Linked DNA regions of Macaca fascicularis. The protein of the gene in region 2 purifies or fractionates together with the protein of the main gene of each other region. This does not show direct contact. Links are inferred from orthologs where the notes say so. Each region holds a gene or a part of one and is shown on either strand. Other genes may lie near its edges.

What was found.
Region 1: the proteins of PUS10 (region 2) and ABITRAM purify together in Homo sapiens (affinity purification with mass spectrometry; 3 studies listed by BioGRID and IntAct, counting the BioPlex papers as one, with this or other methods). This does not show direct contact. The link is inferred for Macaca fascicularis from reciprocal best matches to the Homo sapiens genes PUS10 and ABITRAM.

Annotation. Positions count from the first base shown.
Region 1 is NC_088389.1:49,190,823-49,195,385, forward strand, and holds the start of ABITRAM (protein Abitram), read right to left. Parts: upstream 3,022-4,563; 5' UTR 2,952-3,021; coding exon 2,873-2,951; intron 1,815-2,872; coding exon 1,763-1,814; intron 1,144-1,762; coding exon 1,014-1,143; intron 1-1,013. UniProt on the Homo sapiens protein: Actin-binding protein that regulates actin polymerization, filopodia dynamics and increases the branching of proximal dendrites of developing neurons.
Region 2 is NC_088387.1:61,021,671-61,025,487, reverse strand, and holds part of PUS10 (tRNA pseudouridine synthase Pus10), read right to left. Parts: intron 1,414-3,817; coding exon 1,271-1,413; intron 1-1,270. UniProt on the Homo sapiens protein: Protein with different functions depending on its subcellular location: involved in miRNA processing in the nucleus and acts as a tRNA pseudouridylate synthase in the cytoplasm.

The DNA.
Region 1 (4,563 bases), on a different chromosome or scaffold from region 2:
AGTAAATGAAGGACGTAAATCATCCACAGAAACTTTCCCAACAAGTGGGTTTGTAAAGACATTTTAATACGTCACTAAATTCTCCTTGGTATGATACTCTTTTAATCATCTATCCATTTTGCCTAGAGTTACAGAGGGTAGAGCTAGCATTCTGTATAACCAAGTGTTGTGTGCAGGTACAGGGGGTGGGTAGATGTGTATTACATTGACAATGCTTTAGGAATGGAAAAACGTAAGGAGCAAATACCATATATTTTCTCATATTCATGTTTTTTTTTGTTTTTTTTTTTTGAGACAGAGTCTTGCTCTGCCGCTCAGGCTGGAGTGCAGTGGTGCGATCTCAGCTCACTGAAACCTCTGCCTCCCAGGTTCAAGCCCTTATCCTGCCTCAGCCTCCCGAGTGGCTGGGATTACAGGTGCCCACTACGACGCCTGGCTAATTTTTGTATTTTTATAGAGATGGGGTTTCACCACATTGGCCAGGCTGGTCTTGAACTCCTGACCTCGTGATCCACCCACCTCGGTCTCCCAAAGTGCTGGGATTACAGGCGTGAGCCATTCTGACTGGCCCATGTTTTTTTTTTTTTTTTCTTACTCCCCTGGGAATTTTTTTTCTGTTTAATTTACATGTGGAAATACATGGTAAAGAAGAGTTGATCACCTAAATTTTACAGAACTCGAGATACTAGTTTAATACAACTAGAAGGGACAAAATATCTTGTTATATTGCTATTAGAGTTCTCCTTTCAAAGGCCTGCCTTCCCCCTCCCCCATCCTGGGCATTATAGAGATAGTAGCACAGAACCTAATAAAACAGATACTACACCTCCTGAGATACCTAATTTTTGGGAGTCTAAGAATTTCTTTAGGTGAAAGTACACTTAAAATCAGCACCTCAAACTGCTAGAGAAGTATGCTAAGTATATGCTATTGGATTCTAAGGTTCATTGGATCTATCATTACCATGAATATAGAGGATGTAAGTAGATAATCACAGAATTACAGGAACATACCCGCTTAAATTTCCCAGAGACCTTGTTCTGAAGTCTGCTACAGTTGGTACTGATCTGATAGGAAATGCTTTTAATTGTTTTTCCACTTTGAAGAACTGGATGAGATTCTGCCAATGTGATGACACATATTCTACAAGGAGAAAAAATTGATCCTATGTGATTGCTTGGAATAATTTTTCCTCCCATAATTCTTATTGGAACAAGAATGTATGAACTGGTATTTGTTTAGTCAAACTATCATCTTCCCCCTTTTTTCTTTGGCTACTATTGGGGCATAACTGTAGAAAGGAGAATACAATAATAAAAGAGAAAACAAGATTGAATTTCTTTCCCAGGAAAGGGAAGAGTACCAGAGATCTTTAGGTAGGTTGCACTGGGGTAGAAGACAAAAAAATAAGGCATGCCTGTGTATACAAGATACCATGTATGTCTCTACCGTAGCCCTTTCTGTGGGCTCTTAACAGTTCAGTAGTTGGGAACAGACTGGCCACTTCAGGTAGTAGCTGATGATGTGGTCCTCCATTTGGGTGTTTGAATAATCAAATTTATTTGTTTAGAGTGGCCAGGCACTGGAATACTCATTCTTGCCAAACAAACTCCTATAATAATACCATTTCAACACAGTAGAAGATAATTAATGCATGTTTGTTTAGTGAGCATTTGTTCAATCCAAGACCACAAGACCATACCAGGCTACAATACCAGAAAAAAAAAAGGTTTTGATAATTTAAAATTCCCAATTTGCTTACCGGTTAGAGTGCTGTAGTATACAGTGGTCCTCACAAAATTTTCCTTTGACATCTAGAAGAATAAATGAGTCTGTTGGTGGCTGAAATCAATACTTACTACCACTATGTGGTCCTTTTTTGGGTCATAGAGATAGTTAATAATGAAGATTGGACACATACATGCTGCATGCTGGTCACTTCTATCCCTACATTGCTCAAAAAGACATACCCAAAGGCTTCCTGGAAAGTATTTAAAGAGATCTGGCCCAGACAGAATAATTTATTCAACATTAAGGTAATTAACTCCTTGCTCCATCTTCCTTTACACTCACTTCAAAATGAGTACACACAGTATTTTTGCTAGGAAAATGCAATTAGCATCCCATTCTTTATGATATATATTTTTTGTTGGTGGTTTCCAGGACTGTTCTGATGCTGGTGCAAGTCCGACATTCTGGGAAACCCCTCAGTCATGGGTCAACTAGGACAGGTTGGTCACCCTATGTTTGACCAACAGAAAATATGCTACAATATATATTTTTTTAACTGAGTATAACCATTATCACTGAATGAAAGGAAGAAAGGAGAGTCCCAAACGATGCTCCCGCCACTGGTACTGCTTACACAAAACAGTACAAAAAGAATACCTACTTCTAAGTGGCAGATGAACAATACCGGTGGCGTCTCCTTAAGTAAATGTGTAATTCTGCTTTCTAAATGTCTGTAGCCCACCCTCTTCTCGCCAGCCCTACTGCCTCTACCTTGGTTTCGATCTGATCATTTACATAATTTTATGTATTGCTAATCGCTGTGACAGTGAGCCCCTCAATCCCTCCAGGCACTTCAGGACTGTGGCAACCTAGCCCTGCGCCTACCTCCGGGGCCTCCGTGAGCTACACCCTAGAGCTCGCACTGCAATCGCCGGTCCCAGAATGCGCCCTGAAGTATTTCAGGCCACCAGGTCTTTGCAAATGCCACTACCTGGGCCTAGACGGAACACAGAAGTCCAGCTCCTTCTGACGTGGGGAGGGAGCGCCAGGGAGAGAGCGCGTGGCTTACGATCTGTCAACGTAGTCTCCACAGCATTAGGCCAATGCGGCCAAGGAGGGATCAACATCACTCTGCACTTACCCGGTTTGTACCAGCGAGTGAAGTATCGATCCACGAGCGAAGGCACCACCGGCTCCGCTGCTTCGGGCTCGGTAGCCATGGCGACCTCCGGCGCCGCCACCCCCTCCCTCCCGGACCCCAGCGCTTCCTCCGCGCAGCCCGGGCTGGGCGTGCTCTTCCGGCGCGCAGCGCGTGTCGTGCGCACGCGCGCTTCTGCCAGCTCCGCAGGTTCCGCCCCCCATTACTGTGCTTTGGGGTTCCACATCAAAAGAGATCAAATACAAAAGTGTGGGCAGATGGGCAGGAGGGCAGAGGGACAGGGGATGCGGCCAATGTAGTTCCTCTACCTCTACGGTGCCAGGGCTACAAAGAAGGCCGGTCCCGGTAAGTGACCAAGAAAGCGGACCCGGCCACGCCTCCGCCGCTGGATGACGTCACCCCGCGCCGCCCTCCGCGGGCCGGGCCATCCTAGTTGACGCGACCATTGCGCAGCTGGCCTCTGCAGTGCTTCAGCGCACCCCTGGAGGCCTAGTGCGCTCGGTGAGAGAGCGGGAGCCTAAGACCGAGACGCGTGCGCAGTTCGGGGCGGACTCTGGGTAGCCGGCTGCGCGTGGCTGGGGAGGCGAGGCCGGATGCACCTCTGTTTGGGGGTCCTCAGGTAAGCGATCCATCCGGGGCAGGGGCACGGGAGTGGACCCCTCTGCCGGCAGTGTCCGGGTGAAAGAGACCGGAGGCTCCTCTGCCTGCTGCGGGCCGGGGACTGGAGCGCGGGCTGCACCACCTCTTTCCTAGAGCCTTAAATTCTTTTTGCAGTTTTGCCACCTGCTCCATCGGGGGCGCTGGGAGGCGCGACAGCCCAGGGATACCTGCAGCACCTCTAGCCAGACTTAACCCAGCCTCTTGATTGCTTGCAGGGGGTTGATAATAACGCTGAAAGCTAGAGCATTAATTCACGATGGAAGGCGGCGGTTAATAGAGGCTCGGGTGCTGTCGTGCGGGTCCTTTCTGGCGTCTGAGACTTTTTCGTGGAGGTGGTGTCCTCTGTGCTTCTCCATCTAACGTGGTGTTTTAACGTGGCTTTCTTTCCCGTTAACGATGATCTCCGTGGAGACAGTGGCTGCCTGAGTAATCTTCAGATCCCAGCACTTAGCAAGTGCCCAGTCGGTGTTGGATGTAGGCCACAAACCGGATCGTAAAGAATTCAACAGCATATTGACAGCCACAGCCACGGCGCTAACCAATGAATAGATCAATATGAAGAGTAAGCAGAAAGGCAGCAAAGACAGTTTTCCAGCTCGGGGACATGGCGTAGAAATGGCCTGTCCCGAAATAGTGGGAACTGTCATTTGGGGGAAGAATAGCAAGTTCTTTGCTTTCCAGGTCGCATTTGATGTGCATGTGAGACTTGCTTGTGATATTATCAGGAGGTTAAAAATGTGGGTTTAGTGGTCAGTTTGGGCTAATTCAGTCGGGGCTAGGCATTTAGGCCTAATCAGCGTATTCGTGATCTACCTGGTACATGTAATCATGCATACGATGTCTAGCCAAGAGGTGGATAGTTGAAGGGACAAGGGAAGAAAATGAAGGAGTTGTCAGAAAATTTAAGAGAGAATTCACTATTGACCTTTGGTGTGGAGGAATCTTTAGTACATTCAAGGACTGAGAAAAGTTTGAATCAGTAGAGGCAGGAAGTTTGGAGGTTGCAGATGTCA
Region 2 (3,817 bases):
GAATGTTTTCATAGGATTGAAAAGACATCAAATTCTACAAAAGACATTTCTCCTTGGCCCACCAAAACTAAAAGCCAGGATTAGGTAAGAAGATTTTTTAAAAATATATACATGATTTGAAATTCCATCCATAATAGGCAAATATGCTCCAAACAACAAAGATACAAAGATCTATCCACTGGAGTCGAAATTGAAATTGATGCAAATTACAAAATTTAGAAGATTTTAAGAGTAGATAACCTATACTTGGCTTAGCTGAGTAAATCCAGGTCCTAGGGTAGTGCAGGGGAAGAAGTGAATGCAGGTTGGTGGGGAAGGGCAGGCAGACTAGTTACAGCAATATAGTAAGAATGGTATTTGGTAATTAAAACTTGCTTTTTTTCTATATATATATAGTGTGTGTGTGTATACGTGTTACATATATACACACACATACAGTAGTACATCATTAGTTCTATACCAGTTAGAAGGCATTTTGTCACTTCATGCTATTGGATCACATAATAATATAAAACCAAGAAGCAAACAAAAACTAGGAAGACCTTCAAAAAGTAAACTAAAGCTAAGCCTGTTAGAGCTCCCTGATATATTTTAATCAGCGACTCAGTTCTGATACAAAAATCATACAAGTCAGGTTAGATTATGAACAAATTATCAGCCTTGGACTATGGATATTTTAACTCTGAATCTCAACCTTTCTGTAATACAGTCAAAACTCTTTGCAGTCTGAAAATGGTGATAATGATATGTCATCTGAGTCGTTTTAGTTTTGTTTTTTTCACAAGGTACGTAGACAAAGATATTCTCTGTTGTACTAGGCCAGTGGCCAAGTAAAAGATCATGATGTAAAGTAGTGCTATTCCCATCTACTACCTGTGTTTAATCATCCAAGGCAAATACCTGAAATGTTGAAAAGACCCAAATATGGTCATAAATACGTGACTTGCAAATAATGTCAAGACAGCAAATGAATCCATCAAAAGTATTTTCTGGATACTATGCGCTCAGCACTGTGTAAGACACGGCAATTACAGGAAACATAACTTTAAAGCTGACATTGAACTCACTGCTACCTCAGTGTTTAGAATCATTTTGAAAAACAAATTTCGTGGGAAAAAAACACATCGAACAAACAAACAAAAATATTCTTCTGCAGTACAATCCTTTCCCGAATCCCTCCCAGACCAAGCTGACCCTATTTTCCAGGGCAGCATGAACTTTTCCAACAGGGTTCTGGCTCATGGCGGCAGTGCAGTAGGTGGAAGGATACGTGCCGGCCTGAGTTTTCAAGCGGAGGCGGAAGTGGTGCTCATCCACGTACTGCGTCTCCATGGAGTGAATGACGCGAGCTCGCACAGCCAGGGGCCTTCGGTGAAGGACGCGCAAAGGTGTTTTCTGGTCGATCTTTAAGTCCTAGGGGAGAATGTGACACACAGTCCCGGAGTCACAGCTTTGCCACCCAGTGAAGCCTATCTTAGCCCTTCCTTCACCATCCATAGCTCACCACAGATGTTTCCTTTAGAGAACTCCATCTGTATCACGGGGTGGACACTAATTAATGGTAAAATGAATTGAGTCCCGTTAGGTTCAAACTCTGTGGGACTTCTCAGAACCCAGTCTATCATTACTCATTTTCTGGGCCCCAGTAACCTCGCCATTTAAAGAGAGCTTTGAAGTAAATAGGTCTCTTTTACTCTCATATTTAATAAATTGGTGAAGGCCCTGGAGTTCTGGCCTGCCCTTAAGGTCTATCGGGTTGCCCTAAAGACAAGGCCTTTACCTTTGTTTACTTTTTTTTTTTTTTTTCTTTTTTCTCGCTCTGTCGCCCAGGCTGGAGCTCAGTGGCGCAGTCTCGGCTCACCGCAACCTCTGCCGCCCGTGTTCAAGTGATTCTCCTGCCTCAGCCTTCCGAGTAGCTGGGACTACAGGAGCCTGCCATCGCGCCAGGCTAATTCGTGTAGAGACGGGGTTTCACCGTGTTAGCCAGGCTGGTCTCACTTCTCCTGACCTTGTGATTCGCCCGCCTCGGCCTCCCAAAGTGCTGGGATTATAGGCGTGAGCCACCGCACCCGGCCCCTTTACCTTTGTTTTCTAACCCAACAGAGTGACCTAAGAGTGGGGATTTCAGGCTGCGTGAGAAATGGCTGGTTGCAGAAGGTGGGACATCAGCATCGCTTGGGTGTATGGCAGTTTGCGTTTGTTTGAAACAAGGTCTCGCTCTGTTGCCCAGGCTTGAGTGCAGGGGCGCCATCTCTGCTCACTTGCAACCTCCAATTCCTGGGTTCAAGCGATTCTCCTGCCTCAGCCTCCAGAGTAGCCGGAATCACAGGCACACGCCACCACGCTCAGCTAATTTTTGTATTTTTTTGGTAGAGACGTGGTTTCACCATATTGGCCAGGCTAATCTCCAACTCCTGACCTCAGGTGATCTGCCCTCCTCAGCCTCCCAAAGTGCTGGGATTATAGGTGCGTGCCACCATGCCCTGCTGAGTTTGCATGTTTTAGGGAGACCCACGTACCTACTGTCAGGGGTGGGTTGTTTGGATTTGTTTTTTTTCGTTTTTTTTTTTTTTTTTGGTGAAGGAAAAGGGTTATACAAAAGGATACATCTGGAAAATATATTAATATTAATACATCTTGTTTAGGGTGATATTTCAATATAATAATTACAAATCAATGTGCATAATAAACCAGGACCTTTCAATGTTTGTTAGCCCAGCTTGCAACTAATAATACTGCATGTCTTTTTACATTTCAGATTTTTTAGGGACACAGGCTTGTTTTTCTCACAATTCGTTCAAGTTAGAGATTTTCTGTCACAAGATAAAAATTAAGAAATAGAGGTTAACACTGTAAAAGGTCAACTAATTCCAAGTTTTAAAAATTGGGCGTAATCAGAAATTCAGATTCATAAGAACTGAATCCTCTGCATTTTCTTGTCGGAACAACTCTTCCTAATTTCCATGGTTCTTGAGTGCCGGAAGGCCTGCTAACGGAAGAAAAGTTTCTGTTTGGTCTCTCCTCTATCAAGTTCTCCACCAAGAAAAAAAGAGCAAGTTCTAACAAAGACCACATTTGAAAGGGTGTGGCTGCTTTTACCAGAGTGGTGAGTCAATGGCTCCTCCTAACTCTGTGGTTTTTATGAGTCTTTGATTTTATTACAGAAATACTTTGTCCTGATGAGATAAGCTGTCTCCATAAGACCTGATTTTTCTCTGGTCAAAGAGACAAAAAAACAAAAAACAAAACAAAACCAAAAAAACATAAATAAAGGACAAGGCTGAACTGTGAAGGAATCTATAAAGACATGGCTTCCACTTTAGAGAAACAGCAGCCTTTAAATTAATGACTATCTATGGAGTCCTCTCCCCTGCTTCCTTTACCTTTAGAGTTATTCCTAGTACTTTGACCATGAGACAGTCGGTCAATGGAAATACCACGAGTCACATGTCTTTTTTGGTTTGTTTGATTTTAGTTGATAAAAGGAAACTACTTCATTTATTCTAATATTGCACTCTGCTGCTCCTGTACTGCTGAGTTTTCAGAAACACACAAACACACACATATGCTTGTTTTTTTTTTTTTTTTTTAGAAATAGGTTGCTCCTGAAGAGGGGATAAGTAGTAAATGTGAAATGACTTTTTCTCAGTATGGGGAAGTAAGTCGGTTTTTATAATTTTTATGCTAACTGGAATATTTGAAAACTAAAAACATTATTTGAAATCAACTAGTTGCATCAGTCTACTTAGGCTATGGACCATTAAAAGAGACCCTTTCACCACTTAGTCTGTACTATGAAAATCATCTTTCAGCCCAG